Linked DNA regions of Rhinolophus ferrumequinum. The protein of the gene in region 1 interacts with the protein of each later gene in a pairwise test. Links are inferred from orthologs where the notes say so. Each region holds a gene or a part of one and is shown in the gene's direction. Other genes may lie near its edges.

Region 1 (9,780 bases):
GACAGGGTCACCTGAGGGATGGGGGGTGGGGAGGGAAGCCAACCGAGGGTTTTGCCACGGAGGACAGGGATCCTCGGGTGGGTCTGAGAGGCCTCTGAGGAGCTCTGATGTCCCCCTCCTCTCGGGGCCCATCACCCATGAAGCTGGCCCAGCCCTGCTGAAGAGCCGGCGGCTGCACTCGAGCGCGGTGCTGGCGTTGCTGGCGGATGACCGGCACATCATTTCGGGCAGTGAGGACCACACACTCGTGGTGTTTGACCGCAGGGCCAACAGTGTACTGCAGCGGCTGCAGGTGGGCCCTCCCCAGGGGCTGGAGGGACCGGGGCTGCATGTGGCCCAGCCTGAGCTGCTCTGTCCTTTGTCCCTCCCACAGCTGGACTCCTACTTACTCTGCATGTCCTACCAAGAGCCCCAGCTCTGGGCCGGCGACAACCAGGGCCTGCTGCACGTCTTCGCCAACCGGAAAGGCTGTTTCCAGCTTGTCCGGGTTGGCCAGGGCCCTTGTCTCTGCCCCACTCTCCCTGGGCTTCCTCCCTACCCCTTAACCCTTGGTGGCAGTGGGGTGCTGGCCTTGGAGAGACCCATCTGAGTGTCACCTGTTCCTCCTGCAGACCTTTGATGTGGGCCACAGGTCTCAGATTACAGGGATCAAACACTCGCTGGGGGCCTTGTACACCACGTCCACTGACAAGACCATTCGGGTGAGGACCTTGGACAGGCCCCGTCCCCCCCTGGCCAGGAACACATCTCTTGACTTTGCCTGTTGCCCCCTAACCAGGTGCACGTGCCCACAGACCCACCAAGGACCATCTGCACCCGAAGCCACCACAACGTGCTAAATGGGGTAAGGCTCTGCCCTCTATGCCCTGCTGGCTGCCCAGAGCGCCCCTGAATCCTCATGTCCCTGTCCAGATCTGTGCTGAGGGCAACCTGGTGGTAGCTGCCTCCGGGGGCCTGTCGCTGGAGGTCTGGAGGCTGCAGGCCTGAGCAGGCAGACGTGGACGTGGATGTGTGGATGTGGATCTGCTGACCGGCCGGTTCTTGGGGGACCCTCCCCCTCGCTGGTGCTGCCCCTAATCTGGCCCACAGGCCTGGGGCACAAGGAGCCCCCGTTACATTTGGGTGGGGTCCCTGGGCTGGGCCCCAAGCCAGGGGAGGTGAGGTTGGTGTTTTGGCCCACCCAGAGGGCTGCTCCCCACCCTTGGGCTCCGTTTTTGTTGATTTGGGTACCTGCTCTCCCTTGAAAGTGCAGGAGAAATAAACCTGATATACTGGTGCTGTGCCCTGAGTGGTACCTGCAAGCCTCGGTGACAGCCTCTGCTGTTTGTGTCTGGGTGTGCCTGTACCCGCTCAAGTGCATTCCGGGATCCTATGTGTCTGTGTGTCCCTGGGGAGGCAGGCTGGCTGTGTGTGTTGTTACTCTAACCCCAAATCCCATCTGCGCCTGTCTGTGTGCCTGTGAGTGTATGTGTATGAGAGGAAGACAGATTCTGGAGGACGTCGGCAGCAGTCTGTATGATGGCACCTTTGTGTGTGTGAGACAAGTGGACAGGAGTGACGAGTATGTGTGTATGTGTTGGCATGAAGCTAGGGACGCTGCCTCCGGATGTGTTTCTGCAGAGGGTGATGGGATCTGCTAAGGCTAGCCCATAGGTGTGGGGCAAACGGGTGGAGGTACGTGCTCTTTTAGCCAGTCCAGGGTGGGTGTGACCCTGCAGGGGGCGGGGGAGGCTGGGCCAGGTGCCCCTGCCAGCCCACAGCCCCACTTCGCCCCCCACTGCAGCCCACCAAACCCTGAGGAGTGTTCACTTCATGTTTATTGAGGGGTCCTCAGGGCCAGCGTCATAGGATGGCACAGGGCTTCTTCTCCTTGAAGGGGTTGGTGGCAGCCGGGATGCCTACCAAGAAGGGGTCGCTCTTGGCCTGCTCCATGCAGAACTGCAGCAGGTCGGCAGCCGCGTGGGACACCTGTAGGCCAGCCTGGTCAGCCAGACCCCGCGGACCCTCTGCCCCCTCGCCCAGAGGTGCCCGCCTCGCCCCACCCTCACCTTCACACGGTTCATGCCGGCCTCCATCCGCAGCTGCTCCACGGCCCGGCGGGCCTGCCCGATGTCACTGCCAGTGGCCACCTTGCCAGACATCTGGGGGTAAGGTGAGCAGGACCATAAACATCAGGGTGAACACCAGACCTGGAGTCCTAGGGCCACCCGAGGGTCCCTGCACCTCCTTTGATGTCCCCTAGGAACTGCAGGATGTGGTGGCTGCTCCCCGCCCAGCAGGACCACACACCTCAGCTGAGGACTACGGCTGACTCCTGGCTGTTCAGTCCTCCTCCTGCAGCCTGGCTCTGCCTCCTTCCCAACCCCCCTGCCTCTCCAGCCCCTTTGCCCTCCCCTACCCCTGCAGAGACTTTGAAGCTGGGACACTCATGGAGTAAAATGTCACCAGTGACAGTAGCAGCAGCTGCCTCAGCCAAAGGGTTCCCTGCCCCAGGAGACCTGGTGGCTGCCCCATGGTCATGTGTCACCTTGGCAGGGGGATTGCAGGTCCCTGGTCTCTCACTGACCTGACTGATCTCCTGCTAACTGGCCCCGACACCCTCCTTTGTCAGCCTCTGTCCCCCACCCCCCCACCAACATGGGACACCAACAAGCAGAGTGTCCCCGGCTCCGGTGCAGCCCTGCCTCTGCTCTGTCTGCACTCACTGCCCAGGGGTCTATTCCACAGATGACTCAGTCCACCCACTTATGATGAAGTCTTCCTCTGCCCCATCGCAGACCTCAGACCCACGTGAGGACCCTCCGCTCTCCTCAGTCCATCCCACCTGTCTCTCTCTGGTGTCTCTCACCTGACTTGGCCAGGCTGGACTCTGGATTATCTTCCCCCCAGATCTTCTGCCCCCAGATGTACCACCATCCACCCAGTTGCCCTGGCCCAAATCTTGAACTCCTTCATTCCTTTCTTTCTGGTATTCCCACATCTAATTCCTTCTCAAGAGCCAGACGATCAATCTTCAAATTAGGTTCTCAATCTCATCACTTCCTTCCACCACCACGTGGGTCCCACCACCATCTTTGCTCACTTGGACAAGTGCAGCCGCCCCCCACCCCCCACCCCGCCTGGTCTCTCCTGCCCTCCCCACCACTGCCACCATTCTCAAGGCAGCCAATGGGATCTGTTAAAAAGTAAATCAGAATATAACATGGATGAACTTTGAGGATATTATGCTGAGTGAAATAAGCCAGCTACAAAAGGACAAATACTGTGTGATTCCACTTATATGAGGTCCCTAGAGTAGAGACAGGAAGTAGAATGGTGGGTGTCAGGGGCTGATGGTGGGGGATGGGAAGTTAGTGTTTAATGGGGACAGAGTTTCAGTCTGGGATGATGAACAAGTTCTGGAGATGGACGGTGGGACGGTTGTACAATAGTGTGAATGTGCTTCATGCCACTGACCTATATACACTTAAAAATGGTTAAGATGGTGAATCTGATGTGTAGTCTCTCAGTTCCTTTTTCAAACTCTCCAGGGATTTCTCAGTCTCCTTACTACAACCCACATGATCCTGCCTGGTCTGGCACCTTCTGCCCTCCTTCATCTATCAACTGCTCCCTCCTTCATTCCTCATGGATGACACTGATGCCCTTGGGTGTGTTCATTCATTCATTTAGCATCTTTGCTGAGATCCCAATGTGTCCAGCACTGTGCGGAGTAAGAGGGCTGGCAGTGAAACCAGGCACAATCCCGTCCTCACGGAGCTGCCATTCTACTCAAACAAAACGTATTAAGTGCTGTGAAAGACAACAAAAGCAAGGTAAGGGCAAAAGTGGGTGTTCAGGGCAGGCCTCATGCAGGTAACAGTCTGAACTGAGGCCCAGAAGAGAAGGAGCTGGGGGAGGGATGTCCTAGGCAGAGAGCAGCAGGTGCATTGTCCCTTGGTCAGGAAAGAGCGTGGTGGGTTCTAGAACAGTGAGGGGGTTGGTGTAGCTAGAGAGGAGTGTGTGAGGGCAAGTGGTGGGAGATGAGGGCAGGGAAGTGAGCATGCGCCTTCAGAGGCCATGGTGAACAGCCTGGATTCTACTCCCAGGGAGAAGCCACCATTGTTAGAAGGTTTTAGAAAGGAACAACACATCTGATTTCTGTTTAACACACTCTCTGGCCAGAGATTGGACGTGGACTGGAGGGAGTGCAGTGTGGAGGCCCTGGGATGATAAGCACCTGCATGCAAACGACTTATGTTGTGTACCTGACATTAATATATGTCATGTATCAATTTTTAAAAAAGCAACAAAAAAGCACTTGGATTTGGGATGCATTTTGTAGGTAGAATTTAGCACATGTGCTGGGGGATGGATGTGGGGTGTGGGAGGAGACATCAAACTCAACTCCCCAGTTTTCAGCCTGGTAGATGAGGGTTGTTTGCCGAGATGGGGAAGACGGCATGCAGCAAGATCAGGGTTAGGTGGAGAGAAAGCAGAGGTAGTGAGTTTGAGATCCAAGCCAGGAATGTCAAGGCTGTCAAGGAGGATGTTGTTTCTCCAATTAAGGAGGCTAATTTCCAGCCTCAGGGCCTTTGCACAGGCTGTTCTTTCTCCCAATGAGGGACGGTGGGAGAATGGCCTCCCCCATAAGCTCACATATGGGGCCTTTCTTGGCCTTCTGTCTTTGGCTCAAATGTCACCTCCTTGGTGTCCTTCCTCAACCACCTGTCCCTCCAACTAAGGCCACCAACCTCTCCAACCACCGCCACCCCAAAGATTCTTGCATTATCCTGTTGAAATCCTGACTAGCACTTAGCACTGTTAACTTTCTGTCTCCTGAAACTGTGGGCTCCAGGAAAGCAGGGTTTGCATCTTGTTCACCGCTAAATCTGCACCCAGCACAGAGCCCAACATATAGCACAATATAGACTACATTATTATAGATAAATGTACAGTGATTAAGGTGTCCCCTCTGGACCAGACCCTGTGCATGGTTAGGAGGACCCATGAGATATAGTCCCCGCCCTGGAGGGTCTCACAGTCTTGCTGCAGGGAACGAGATGTCAGCCCTAGATCCCAGAGGAGGTCACTTACCAAGAGGAAGGTCAGGGAAGGCTTCCCAGAGGAGGTGACAACTGTGGCTGCTGGGATTAGACCAGAGGGTTATGCAGCATGTGGAGGCTCTGGAGATTTGCAAGGCACGAAAAGGGATCAATATCTTATTTGATGAGAGATGCTCAATGGCAGAAACTGTCTTGACAGTTCCTGATGACTCGAATTCTAAGAAGACATTCTTTCCTCTCAGGGAACAGAAATGAATGGACTCCCCGCAACGCGGGGAGTCTCCAGCAGGCGGCAGTAAATGTAAGACTCTTCATGTGAGTAGAGAACACACGAAACAGGAAACAACGGCTCCGTACGGCTTCCGTATTACAAAAACAGGCCGCGTCCTGGACTACGGGTGTCGAGAGAGGGTCATGTAGCGCAGCAACTTCCGGACGTGTCTCCAGTTTTTCCTGCGCTCTCGTAGAGAAGCGTGTGCCAGTGCTTAGCGCGTTTGGAAGCCATTGGAGGCCTGGCCTGCGGCTGCACTGATCTGAGAGCGCGGCCGCAGGTGCATGGAGAGTTCCCCGGAGGAGGAGGCGCCCGCGGCGGCGCGGGCTGCTGTGCTGAAGCCCAGCTCGGCGCTGCCCTTCGAGAGCGCCCAGGTCCGGGGCTACGACTTTAACCGTGGCGTGGACTACCGCGCGCTGCTGGAGGCCTTCGGCACCACTGGTTTCCAGGCCACCAACTTCGGGCGCGCGGTGCAGCAAGTCAACGCCATGGTGAGGCCGGGGGCGGGACTTCCTGGGTCGAGGGGGGTTTGGCTTCTCCGAGCACCAACGCAGTACAGTAGATGGAAGGGCGGGGCTCCCCTGGGGAAGGAGGCGTGTCCTTCGTTGGGGTGGCCCAACAGTTGGAGAGAGGCGGGGCCTAGCCGGGGCGGCGGTTTGTGTGTTGGGAAGGGGACGTTGCCACCCAGCAGCGACATCCTAGTATCCTGAGGTGATGGACACTGATTTTGGGTTGGGGCTGGCTACGTGTGAGTGCCCTGGAATGGGCGGAGCCTGAGGCAAGACGGTGAGATTGAGGGACGAATTGGAAAAGGAGCCTAAGTCAGGGCGGGGCCTTGGATTTGCTCTTCCTAGCGGGGAAGGGGGCTGGGTCCTGCTAAGATGCTTTCCGACTCCGGATGGGGGCAAAGCGTGATCGTGTGCCCTGAGAGCCGGGCTGTGACAGGGATGGAAGCTGCAGAGGGGTCTCGTGTTTCCTGGTTCCAGGTAGAAAAGGTCCCGTTTCCCTGAGTGGGCAGGGACTGGGGGTAGAGTCTGATTCTGAAAACCACTCGGGTCCTTGGGCTGGAGTTTGGGTCCTGAGGTTAACTCGACCCCACCCTTACATGTAGATAGAGAAGAAGTTGGAGCCTCTGCCGCAGGATGAAGACCAGCACGCAGACCTGACTCAGAGCCGCCGCCCACTCACTGGCTGTACCATTTTCCTGGGCTACACATCCAACCTCATCAGTTCAGGGATCCGTGAGACCATCCGTTACCTCGTAGAGCACAACATGGTGGGGAACCACTGGCGCTGTTGTCTTGGCCTCTCTGGGTCTAAATGGACAACACGATTTTTGGTCATTTTAGTGACATTGGGAGATATGAGTCAATTTTAAGCTGTGGGACAGGATTGAGTTTTGTTTTGCAGCAGAGCTTCCTGCAAGGTGACTAGATGAAAGTTGGGAGTTAGCAGTCCTGCCTACAGTGAGGGCAGGGACCCCATTTCTGGGCCAACGTAACTGTTTTGTGGCTGCAGGTGGATGTTTTGGTGACTACAGCTGGGGGTGTGGAGGAAGATCTCATCAAGTGCCTGGCACCCACATACCTGGGCGAGTTTAGCCTCAGGGGAAAGGAGCTACGTGAGAACGGGATCAACAGGTGGGAAACCCTGAGCGGTGCTGGGCAGGGGAGCTAAGCTGAGGGACCTGGGGCCTGATGCCCATCTGCCTCCTGTCCCCAGGATCGGGAACCTGCTGGTGCCCAATGACAATTATTGCAAGTTTGAGGACTGGCTGATGCCCATTCTGGACCAGATGGTGCTGGAGCAGAACACAGAGGTGGGGCTGGAGCAACCTGGGGGGCCAGCATGGTGAGAGTCAGGGGAAGCACCGCTGGCTGAAGCTGGTATCTCCTCCTAGGGTGTGAAGTGGACACCGTCCAAGATGATCGCCCGGCTAGGCAAGGAGATCAACAACCCAGATTCGGTGTATTACTGGGCCCAGAAGGTGAGGGGCTGGGTGGGGGCAAAGATGCCAGGCCTTGGCCTCTGTTAACTTGTTTTATCTTCACAGCCACCTGAGGAGTCAATGCTGTTCTCATCATCTGCACTCTTAGACCAGGAAGTTCAGACCCAGAGAGGTTAGGCAGTTTGAGGTCACACAGCTGTTGAGTATAGTCCTGATATCCTGGGAATAGTTGGGGCAGTGCTTAGCAACCCTCCTGGTGTAGGGTCCCCTGCTCCTCAGAGGCTATGAGGCCCAGCAATCAGAAAAGTAACAAGAGCTCCCATTCTGTGTGTCAGGCTTGCTCTTACATATTTTATGTGTTTTCTCACACACACCTCTACGTTGGAGGTACTGTTACCGTCATTTTAGATTCAAGGAAACTGAGGCCCAGAGCAGTTCAGCACCTCACCCAGAACAGGCAGAGGGAGGGAACGCTGCACCGGGTGCTGACTCCCACCACTGTCCTGCCCTCCCCCAGAACCACATCCCCGTGTTGAGCCCAGCGCTCACAGATGGCTCGCTGGGCGACATGATCTTCTTCCATTCCTACAAGAACCCAGGCCTGGTCCTGGACATTGTGGAGGGTGAGGCGCTGGGGCCGGAGGAGCAGGGGAGGAGGGCTGGCTGGGCCCAGGGCCTGACCACAGCGCTCTTCCCTAGACCTGAGGCTCATCAACACCCAGGCCATCTTTGCCAAGCACTCTGGCATGATCATCCTGGGCGGGGGAGTGGTCAAGCACCACATCGCCAATGCCAACCTCATGGTAAGCAGGGACGAGCACCTGGACCCTAGTGTGGGGGTGGCACTTGGGCCTGCTGTGCAGAGATGGCTGTGTGCTAGGCTTATGCCACGTGCTGGGGACACAGCTATGGGCTAGACAGGACAGGATCCCTGCCTTCCTTGGACTGACATCAAATCAGTTGATGGTTATTGCCATAGAGAAAATTGAGGGATGACAAGATGGCAAGAAAAAGAGGGTACTGTTCAATAAAGGGAAACTTTCTGGGAAATGTGACCCGGGAGCAGGTTTTTGGTAGGTGCCTCCTATGAGCTACGTGGTTGCCTTGGAAGAGTTCCCAGCGGAGAGAACAGCCAGTGCAAAAGCTTTGAGATGCCTGAAGTAAATCAAGGAACAGCTAGAAAGACTGTGAAGGGGAGAGTGGGAGGTGAAGTGGGGAGGTGACAGGCAGGACTTGCAGGGCCTTGAGGGCAGCCACTCAGGTGCTCACAGATGACCTGTGGCTACTGTGGGGGGAACAAATAGGGCCAGGACCAGGGTGGAGACCAAGGGGGTTCAGAGGTCTTCTGAAGGTAGAGCTGGGAGTAGCTCCCTCTGAGCAGATGTGGGAAGACTGTTGCTACCTAGGAGGTGGGTCTGGGGCAACACTGCCCATCTGCCCAGCAACCTTGTAACCCCTCACTCTGCCTAGGCATTCATGTTGGGGCTCCTCCCTTCATCCAGGACAAATGGCTCAGTCTCTCTAGCTGCAGTGCCCTCTTTGTGTGTGTGTGTCTGTGTGTGTGTCCATCCTGGCTGACCGCCTGCTCTGCCCCTCCCCACAGCGGAATGGAGCCGACTATGCTGTTTACATCAACACAGCCCAGGAGTTTGATGGCTCCGACTCTGGTGCCCGGCCGGACGAAGCTGTGTCTTGGGGCAAAATTCGGGTGCATGCACAGCCTGTCAAGGTGAGGGCCAGCTCGCAGGCTTGGGCATGGTGTCTCCCAGGTTGCGACTCAGGTGCTCACAGGCGCCCTGTGGCTGCTATGGGGGGAACAAGTGGGGCCTGGACCAGGGTGGAGACCAAGGCGGGCGGACAGGGGGTTGGGTTCCGAGGTCTTCTGCAGTTAGAGTTGGGAGCAGCTCCCTCTGAACTCCTGGGTCCTGTCCTCAGGTCTATGCTGACGCCTCCCTGGTCTTCCCCCTGCTCGTGGCTGAAACCTTTGCCCAGAAGGTAGATGCCTTCATTCCCAAGAAGAATAAGGACTGAACAGCTGCAGCCCCAGGGAGGTCTCCCCGCCTCTATTAGTTTGCAGACCCAACTCCTCTCCAACTCCTTGGGCAGCAGCATGTCTACAATAAATGTTCTCAGAGGTCCTGCGCCTGCATCTGTGTCCGTGGTGGTGGGTCCCCTGGCTTCAGCCTGTGCCACTCTCGGCCTCGTAGGCCTCTTCCCGCCAGCACTGGACGCTGCCCCCCATGGCGGTCAGCAGGCAGGGCTCCGTGGGGTGGTAGGCCAGTGACTGTACCACACCGGGACCCACAGGCAGGGCCAGTGCCAGGGCACCCTGTGGAGCAAAGGGGTGGGGAGCAGTTAGTGAGCCCCGATCCCCTGACCTTCAGCTACCTGCCTCTCATGGCTTTCCAGACACTGCAAATCCAAAACTGAGCCCCTAGGTGGCTCCATCCTTTCAGGTGCTCAGGCCAAACTCTTGGGAGTCTTTCTCTCATACCTCACATCCCTTTATCAGTAAA
Region 2 (10,105 bases), on another chromosome or scaffold:
GTTTCCTTTGTTGTAAAGAAGCTTTTTTAGGGTGATATAATCCCACCTGTTTATCTTTGCTTTTGTTGCCTTTGCTTTTAGTGAAAAAATCCAAAGACTCATTACCAAAACCAATGTCAAGGAGCTGCCCTATATTTTCTTCTAGGAGTTTTATAGTTTGGGGTCTTATGTTCAAGTCTTTAATGCATTTTGAGTTGAATTTGTGTATGGTGTGAGATAAGGGTTCAGTTTCATTATTTTACATGTGGCTATCCAGTTTTCCCAATACCATTTATCCTTTCCCCATTATATATTCTAGGCCCCTTTGTTGTAAAGTAATTGGCTATATAGGCCTTAGTTTATTTCTGTGTTCCTTTTCTAGTCCATTGATTTATACGTCTGTTTTTATGTCAATATCACACTGTTTTGATGACTATAGCTTTGTAACATAGTTTGAAATCAGAAAGTGTGATGCCTCTAGCTTTGTTCCTCTTTCTCAAGGTTACTTGGCTATTCAGTTGTTTGTAATTCCATACAAATTTTAGGATTTTTCTATTTATGTAAAACATGCCAATGGAATTGATAGGAATTGCATTGAATCTATAGATTGCTTTGGATAATATGGACATTTTACTAATATTAATTCTTCCCCATGAACATGAAATGTCTTTCCATTTATTTGTGTTTTCTTCAATTTCTTTCATCAAAGTCTTATAGTTTTGGTGTATAGGTCTTTCACCTTGATTACATTTATTCCTACGTATTTTATTCTTTTTGATGCAATTGTAAATAAGACTGTTTTCTTAGTTTTTCTTTCTGATTCATCATTGTTAATGTATAGAAACAAAACTGTTTTTGTATATTGATATATCTTGCAACTTCACTAAATTCATTGATGAAGTCTAACAGATTTTTTGGTGGAGTCTTTAGGGTTTCTATATGTAATGTAATGCCATCTGCAAATAGAGACGATTTTACTTCTTCTTTTCCAATTTGGGTGCTGTTATTTCTTTTTCTTGCCTAATTTCTCTGGTTAGTACCTCCAAGACTATATTGAATAAAAGCAGTCAGAGTAGGCATCCTTATCTTATTACTGATCTTAAAGGAAAAACTTGCAGCTTTCCACTATTGAGTATGAAGTTAACTGTGGGCTTGTCATATAGGGCCTTTATTATATTGAGGCCCTCTATACACAGTTTGTTGAGAGGGTTTTTTTTTTTTTATCATGGATGTATGTTGAACTTTGTCAAATGCTTTTTCTGCATCTATTGAGATGATCATATAATTTTTATCATTCATTGTTAAAGTGGTGTATCACAGTAATTGATTTGCAGATATTGAACCATCCTTGCATTTCCTGGAATAAATTCCACTCCATGACAGTATACGATCCTTTTCATGTACTATTGAATTGGTTTGCTAATATTTTGTTGAAAATTTTTGCATCTATGTTCATCAGAGATACTGACCTGTAATTTTCTTTTTTTTTTGTAGTGTCCTTGTTTGATATATAGCATCAGGGTAATGCTATCCTCATAATATAAGTTTAGAAATGATCTTTCCTCTTCAATTTTGGGGGAAAGTTTGAGAAGAACTGGTATTAATTATTTAAATGTTTGGTACAATTCACTAGTGAAGCCAAATTTTCTTTGTTGGGAGGTTTTGAGTACTGATTCAGTCAGCTTAGTAGTAATAGGTCTGTTTAGATTTTTCTATTCATGATTCAGTCTTGGTAAGTTGTATATTTCTATCAATTTATCCATTTCTTCAGGTTGTCCAGTTGGTTGGCATATAATTGTTCATGGAGTCTCTTCTGATCCTTTGCATTTTTGTGGTATCATTTAGGTCTATCAATATTTGCTTTATATATTTAGGTGCTCCTATATTAGGTACATAAATATTTATAATGTTATATCCATTTGTTGGATTGACCCCTATATCATTATATGACTTTCTTTGTCTTTTATTACAGTCTTTGTATAAAAGTATATTTTGGCTGATAATGTATAGCTATCCTAGCTTTCTTTTGGTTTCCATTTGCATGGATTGTCTTTTTTCATCCTGTTACTTTCAGTCTGTGTGTGTCCTTAAAGCTGAAGAGAGTCTCTTGCTTTTGCTTTAACCATCGTCTATATACTGGTGATTCACAAATATCTTTCTCTATTTAAGATATCTCTCTCCCACAAGAATCTTAAACTCGATTTGGCCAAAAGTGAACTCAACTTGCCATGGAAACTTGCTTTTTCTCTTATATTTTCTATCTCAATGAATGGTACCACCATTCCCCCAGTCGTTAATTTGATGCTTTCCTATTCTTCTCACCCAGTGTCTCCCTTCTCATTTCGACTTCCAACATTACTTAGGACATTCTTTCCACCTTCCCTTGTAATTCTCTTGAATCTGTCTTCTCTATGTTCTCACAGTCACCACCTTTGTTCACCAACATTAACTATTTCTTCCTAATTGGTTTCCTATTTCCAATATTCTCTCCCCCTAAAAAATTCTCCATATCATGATCAGAATGGTCTTTCTAAATTAAAAAAATACATCCTTGTCATTTTCTTCTATATACGGTTTATATATCTTTCTATTGCCCTTGAGAGAAAATCCAGATTCACCCATCTCTTTTTACTACTTTATCAGTCACATTAAACCAGTGGAGGTCCAGAATGATGTCACAATTCTGTCACTTATAGGTTTTTTGTACCCCTAATCCCTCTACCTAAAATGCCTTTTCCAAACCTCTGTTCATTGCTTACTACTCCTTATTTTTCAGATGTCAAATTAAGATATCACTCCCAGAGAGGCAGTCTCAAGATCTTCTAGACCTGTGATGCCCTATATGATAGCCACCAGTCACACAGTCACTGAACCCTTAAAATGTGGCTAGTCTGAATTGAGATGTACTCTACACCAGGCTTTGAAGACTTAGTATAAAATAATCTTATTAATAATTTTTATACTGGTACATGCGAAATATTATTTTAGATGTACTCAGTTAAATTTCAAACTATATTATTGAAATTAATTTCATCTCTTTTTACATTTTAATGTGGCTACAAGAAAACTCAATTTATATGTGGCTTGCATCATACTTCAATTGAACAAAACCTAGACTAGATGAGAAGGAGCCCCCTTTTTCAACATCCTACAGTTACTTCTTTAGTAGCATGTATTATAGCTGCTAAAATGCTAGCTTGTATCCTGCACTAGACTTCAAGTACATAAAAAACAAGAGGATGTCGTGGTCAACATGATAATTTCAGCACTAAGGGTGCTACAATAAAAACAGTCAATTCTCCTTATTTGTGGATCCCATATTTATGAATTTCCCTACTTGATAAATTTACGTATAACCCCAAAATCAATACATGAGATGCTTTCACAATCATTTGTGGACATGCACAGAACAGTGGAAGATTTGAGTCATTCAACACATATTTTCCTGACTAAGGTCAAACAAGGCCATGCTCTGCCTTCTATTTTCAACTGTCAAATGGTAAACGAGTTTTTTTTTCAGTCTACCTGTGCCACTTTTTCACATTTTTTTGACTTTTGTTGGTGACTTGACTGTTTAAAATGACCCTGAGCATAGTGCTGAAGTGCTGTCTAGTGTTTTTAAGAATGAGAAGGCTGTGATGTGCCTTACAGAGAAAATACATGTGTTAGATAAGCCTCCTTTGGACATGAATTGTAGAGCTGTTGGCTGTGAGTTAAATGTTAATGAATCAATATAGATTAAATAAACACATATAATACAAGATAATATATTGGTCAGTTGATGAAAATGTTGTGACCAGAAGCTTACAGGAACCTAACTTTGCATTTCTCCTAGAAGTAACGATTTTGTGTTCCGGTGACTTCACTAGCCTCAGCTGTATTTATTTAATGAATGAAGCTGGATCATTTTGATTCCAAATCCAAATCTTATGTGAATTCACTATGATGCATATGATGGTAGTTAAAGCAGTGATTATGGAGCCAAACTGGCTAGAGTTCAATGTTGGCCTTCTGACTTGCTAGCTGTGTGATTTGGAGCAAATTACTTAACTTTTCTCTGCCCTTTTCCATAACTGAAAATGTAAATAAAATAGTTGTTAATGATTGCCATGGGCTGCACGTGAGGGAGGGGACTGACCAGAAGAGGGCAGGAGAAAACTTTTAGAATGAGGAAATATTCTATATCTTGATTATAGTGGTATTTACACAAATGTTTATGTTCTTCAATATTCATATAACTAAAACCGGTAACTTTTACTTTGCATAAATAACTTAATAAACTTGAGGTTGAAAGAGAGTAACAGCCAAGAGTAAATAATGCACGTAAAACAATTAACTACCCGCTTACATAAATACTCTTTAAATATTAGCAAACACTCTTAATAACAACAGACAGGAAAGGTTAGGTAATGTAAGGAAAAGCAGAGTGGGCTCACGAACTGGATTCTAATCCGGCTATTTCTATTAGCTAGAGGCTGAGTTGTTTATGGGAGTTCCCCTGTTTATTGCAAAGGTTAAGTTACACAGCATGTGTGAAATATCTGTGTAACTGTAGAGCCACATAGGAATGTGAAAAATAGGACTGTTCATGAGACAGCAATACGAAATCACAGGGCCACATAAACTGGGGTGTGGAAGTCACCTCTCCAAGGTAGGAAAATGTGGTGGGTTGTGAAATGAAACCATGAAAAAGGGCTCACATCTTTTTTTAAAAAACTTTGGTCCTTAATCCTATACAAGTCTCTACTGGCTACAGATAACCCAACCATTCTAAGGAGGATGGACATATCTGTAACTCGATAGAATGCCAACGCCAGGAGGAAAGAGCTGAGTTTGGCAGAACACCTTCCTGAATTGGACAATGTGGTACCAGTTAGACATCCACTTGCCTCCACAACTCCCTAACAGCTTCCGGAGGGAGAAGTGAGTTAGGTCATTTCACCACTGCTTTTTAGTTCAGTTCAAGAATGTCTCACGAGTTCCCACCCATGGGAGTGGGCAGGGCACCCAGGGGCAGTCGCTGCCATGAGTCATAATGGGTGGCTGGGGTTCTCTGCAGAGCATGCAGTGTGCATCTGGAAAATAAAATACCGCACTTGGACTCTTCCTGGAGGAACAAGCTGGGTTTGACTACCAAAGAGGGCTGCAAGATGGACCAGAAGTTGGAACCCAAAGTTTCCTCCACAGCCACACTGGCATCCATTGAGATCTCTTGCCTCTCGAGTTTTGACAACCTACAAGTAACAACTGGCACGCACCTGAGGGCAGGGGCCACCATGCGCGCGGCCCAATTCCCATAAACTTCCACTGAAACTTGAACACAACGAACCTAAAAGTTTGCAGCAGGAAGTTTCTTTGCAAGCGAGTTTACCCTCAGCAACCCGCCTCCAGAAAATGCACTTCACGCGCCGGAAGTGCACTAATCCGCAGCACGTGGGGTAGCCAGGACGCTCTTCACGTGACTAGGCGGGGCCTCAGGAAGCTTGTAGCCAATGGTAGCCTGGAAGGGTGGTGCCTGTGACGCGCCGGACCTATCCCGGAAATGGGACTGAGGTGGGGGCGGGAAAGGGCGGGGAGGCCGGGGTGTGGAAAGTGTGGCGGCCCCGCCCTGTCTCTTGGAACTACCGCGGCCGCCACCGCTGCCGCTGCCGCCGCCGCCGCTGTAGGGGACCGGCGCGGGTGCGCAGGCGAAAGCAGCTCTTTCTTTGCTGAAAGGTAAAGACATGGGGGAAAAGTGGTGGGGTTGGGACCGGAGCGAGGCAGGGCCGGGAAAGGCGACGGGAGTCCCAACGAGGGAAAGAGGAAGGCTGGATGGGAGAACGGAGGCGAGCGCGGCACTCGCCAGGGCTCAGGCCCGTGCGGGGCCGAGCCGGGCCGAGGATGCCTGCAGGACAAGGGGGCGCCTGAGAGGCCGGGGATAGCACGCCGCAGCCGGGGACCGGAGTGCGCGCCAGATGCGCGAGGGCCAGGTGCTGCTGGCCTGGTCATGTTATCCCCATCCTTCGCGCGGACGTGCGGCCTGGGCTGGGTCCCCCGCAGTGGGGATCAGGGCGGCGGCGGAGGGCCGGGCGGTGCGGCGCTGTGCGGAAAGGTCGCCGGCTCCGCCTGCGGTGGGACGATGGGGGCCGGGATTTGCTGCTCCCAGCCTGGTGAGCCCCCTGGGCGGGTATCCTCCACCCCCCAGCTCGCTCTCTGCGACTTCCTTCCCCACCTTCCCATCAATGGATGGAAAAGTTTGTAGAGGCCAAGAGTTAGAAAGCGCCCACTGTTCTTGGGTGGGTCTTCTATAGATGCAAAAATAATAGATCCACGATGCTTGGCACGTAACCTGTCCGAAATGAGATTTTTCGTTACCTGATTGCCCATTGTTAAAAAGCAAACAAACTTTTTGCGTAGTTCCCTCCGAAAAGCTACCATCTCCCCAGCCCACCATGGCGGATGAAATTGATTTCACTACTGGAGATGCTGGGGCTTCCAGCACTTACCCTATGCAGTGCTCGGCCCTGCGCAAAAACGGCTTCGTGGTGCTCAAAGGACGACCATGCAAAATAGTGGAGATGTCAACTTCCAAAACTGGAAAACACGGTCATGCCAAGGTAAGTGCCCTTCCAGGTCTGTCTTTACGTTGAGATTTTGATCATTTGTATTACATTACAGAACATGAGATTTCTGTACTTAGAACTTTGTAATAAGCACTTTTTTTTTCTTCCCACTATTACTGGGTGTTCAACTATCGTTTTGAATACTGAAAGGTAGCATTTCCTTCTTGAGCTCTTATAATGTTTCATTAATTGGGAACTGAAACTTTCCTGAATCCCAGTGAGTCAGAAGATCTGTTCAGTTTACAGATGAGAAACCCTGTTCTAACATAATTCCAAGGAACCTAAGTTCATTTTTCTTGTGCACTCTTATAATTGAATTACTGCACTATATAGGATTTGAGTCTTGATATGTCATGATACCATTTAGTTGTTCACTGCTTCTCAATTTTATGACCGCGACATTTTTTTAAGAAAGTAAAATTAGATGACCTTGAAAGGAGAAATAATCTGCTATAATCAGCGTTGGTATTGTGCTCCTGTGTATGTAATGAGTGATATACTTGGCAAAGATTAAACAGGTTTCCTGTTCTCCCTTCTTTGTTAGGTTCACCTTGTTGGAATTGATATTTTCACCGGCAAAAAATATGAAGATATTTGTCCTTCTACTCACAACATGGATGTTCCAAATATTAAGCGAAATGATTATCAAGTAAGTACTAATTTCCTTTAGAATGCTTGTTTCTTAAAGGTGTGAATACATTCTACTATCAATTGTAATTTAACAAAAGGCCGTAGTAGTTTTGTAGGCTTTTCTAACGAATTATCAGTAACCACTTAGAAATTGGAGGAATAGTTATATTTAACTCTTGTACCTTATTTAGGATTATTCTAGTTTGCTATTTTTTAAAACATTCTTGCATTTTAAAAAAGTTGAACACTTCTTATTGTTTCACAAACCAAGTAACTGTATGTTGTGACTGAACAAGTTTAGCGCTAATAAGATTACTACCGTCTTTGTTGTAAAATATTTCAATTTTAGATAACTCCTTCTCAGATGTTTTATGTCTTTTCATTTGTCAGACCTAAGATTTTCAAGAAATTAAGAAATTATTGGAATTCATGTTCCACCAACCAAGTTTGTGTACTAATGAATATGAGTCAGATTTTGGTATTCTTAAATAGGGAAATAAGTTAAAAGCCTTAAATATAAAGGATAAAATACATGGTCACTGAATATGGTGAAGAAAATACAAAAACTGTGTAATTGTTTTATTTATATTCAGTGACCATGCTGTGACCTTTTGTTAAATTATAGGTATAAACTTCAAGTTTTAGTTCCAATTATACATTTGGGTAGGTCATGTTTAATGATAGCATTTTGTTGTTTGGAGTATTGATAGTAACCAAACCATTGACCTCATAGGATGTGGGAGCTCAGATTAATCATAATTAAAGTCTTCTTTTGAAAGTCTTCAATTTCTATATCTAGCATACCATGTATGGTATTCCTTTCTGTTCTTTTTACATAGTGAAAAATGTGAGTGTGACAGATTTGTTTTATCCAGTTAAATTGATTTCCTTTTATACCTTTTATTGTACTGTATAATTTTTAAAGAATGTTACCGTCAACTGTAATTACCCAATGATTTCCTTTTACTCTTTGTCCACTTGTAAACATATTTTTACATGGTTTTAATCTAATAAGCAGTTTTATATTTTCACTTTCCCATTTATCATAAATATTTTCTAGGTTGCATCGGAGTCTTTGTAGAAATTTGAATTTTCTTAGTATAATAATAGTGTTTTTTTAGTCAAACAGGTCTGGGTTTGGATCCAGTTCTACTATTTTCTAGCTGAATGTTCTTAGATAAATTACACAACCTCTCTGAGCCTCACTCTTTCCATCTCCAAAAGAGAGATAATGTGAGGAGTAAATGAGAAAATGTACCCCACAATCACCTCCTGAGTAGATGTGTATCAAAAAGCAGTTATTTTCTGCGCCCCCTTTCCTGTATAAAAATTCCACTTAATCATTCCATTATTCTTGAAGTACCTAATTTAGACAAGCATAGAATTTCCTTTTGCCTCAAATGAATTTCTGTTTTCATCCTTAACATATGAATGCTTTGAATATTCAGTATTCATAATATTCATTAATATGCATTCAACATAGAATGCTTTTGCCTTTGGATGTTTCAGAAAGATGGTATCAGTAGTTCAGATAATTACTACTGTGATCAATTTAGCCAATTATTGATTAGCGCTCAAGAGTTAACGTACATGAAAAATTTGATTTGGGTTTTGTTTTGGGATGTAGCAGGGTCCAGACTAGGGTGAGGGGTATAGGTTAGTGAGCCCCCTAACCTAGAGTGCAAAATTTTAAATAAAAATAGGACCAGAAATAATGCCAAGCCATGTAGGAGCCTAAGGCAAAAGGAAAAATCAATAATTGTGATTCTGTCTTTGTTTAAAATTTTGATATTTTGTTCATTATGGAATTTTTATCCTAATTCTATTTTTTAAAAATATTTCATTAAAATATTTATCCGATCACTGATGGTTCTTTTTGGTGCCACCTTAAATTTTACACCCGAGACAAGTGCTTCACTTGCTTCACTCCAGTCCCAGCCTGTGGTGTATAGTTTGTACTGCAGAGTGGGTAAGAGAGTGACTCAAACCAGGCAGTCTGGGTCCACATTCTTGCTTCGACATTATCTGTGTGACCTCAGTTGGCAAGTTACTTAACCTCTTGCCCTCCTTTCCTTATTTATAAAATGGGGATAAGAATCATAAACAACTCATGGCATCATTGTGAGGTTTAATTAGTTACTACTTAGAACAGGGCCTTACATAGTAAATACTCAGTGATCACATCCCTTTATTATCAAGTCACCATAGAATACTTATATTTGCTCATTTAAAATAATTAGCTCTGTGAGCCTTTCCAGTTATATTTATTGTGCTACGGTGATCTTCACTCACCTAGCCAAGTGCCTTGATTAAATCCCTACTTTTCTTATTATTTGGCTACATGAAGTCCTTTGTATTTGCTTTTTTTCAGTATTTCAAGTGCCAGTTTGGCAGTCAGCTGAAATGAATATATAAATGTTCATATACATATATATATACACACACATATGTATATACACACACACATGTATATATATACACACACATATATATATGTGTGTGTGTAAATTAAAAAGTAAATCTTTGTTTAGGAATATTTACAATTTCAATTTTGTATATTTTAAAATAAGTTCAAAATAAGAGAAAAATTGTCTCCTGACTTCCAGATGATGTAGCTAGGATTAGAATTGCTGATTTCCATTACTCCTCCCAAAAGTAGTTACGGTTCTCTGGGCCTCAGTGATGGTATAAAATGCAAATATATCCAGTTACTCGGGAATCCCCAAATTTTTAAATATAGAAACTCTTATTTTGGCATTTACTAAAGTTTTACCTGTCATTTGAAAACCATATTTCAGAAGGAAAGCTAATAACTACGGGATATGTTTAAGAATACAGAGGGTGCCAAAAAAATGTATATACATTTTAAGAAAGGAAAAAACTATTAAAATTGT

The links.
Region 2: the proteins of DHPS (region 1) and EIF5A2 interact in binary tests that used the Homo sapiens proteins (3 or more experiments, as listed by UniProt). The two-hybrid records come from large-scale screens. The link is inferred for Rhinolophus ferrumequinum from reciprocal best matches to the Homo sapiens genes DHPS and EIF5A2.

The regions. Positions count from the first base shown.
Region 1 is NC_046301.1:48,847,054-48,856,833, forward strand, and holds DHPS (deoxyhypusine synthase), read left to right. Parts: upstream 1-5,133; 5' UTR 5,134-5,600; coding exon 5,601-5,807; intron 5,808-5,946; exon of another isoform or gene 5,947-6,102; intron 6,103-6,427; coding exon 6,428-6,592; intron 6,593-6,834; coding exon 6,835-6,956; intron 6,957-7,038; coding exon 7,039-7,135; intron 7,136-7,216; coding exon 7,217-7,303; intron 7,304-7,781; coding exon 7,782-7,887; intron 7,888-7,963; coding exon 7,964-8,067; intron 8,068-8,867; coding exon 8,868-8,993; intron 8,994-9,199; coding exon 9,200-9,295; 3' UTR 9,296-9,413; downstream 9,414-9,780. Other genes in the region: FBXW9 (F-box/WD repeat-containing protein 9), read left to right, coding at 144-487, 612-701, 779-844, 913-987; GNG14 (putative guanine nucleotide-binding protein G(I)/G(S)/G(O) subunit gamma-14), read right to left, coding at 1,843-1,968, 2,049-2,141; WDR83 (WD repeat domain-containing protein 83), read right to left, coding at 9,444-9,593. UniProt on the Homo sapiens protein: Catalyzes the NAD-dependent oxidative cleavage of spermidine and the subsequent transfer of the butylamine moiety of spermidine to the epsilon-amino group of a critical lysine residue of the eIF-5A precursor protein to form the intermediate deoxyhypusine residue.
Region 2 is NC_046285.1:71,553,741-71,563,845, forward strand, and holds the start of EIF5A2 (eukaryotic translation initiation factor 5A-2), read left to right. Parts: upstream 1-5,548; 5' UTR 5,549-5,694; intron 5,695-6,375; 5' UTR 6,376-6,410; coding exon 6,411-6,575; intron 6,576-7,125; coding exon 7,126-7,230; intron 7,231-10,105. UniProt on the Homo sapiens protein: Translation factor that promotes translation elongation and termination, particularly upon ribosome stalling at specific amino acid sequence contexts.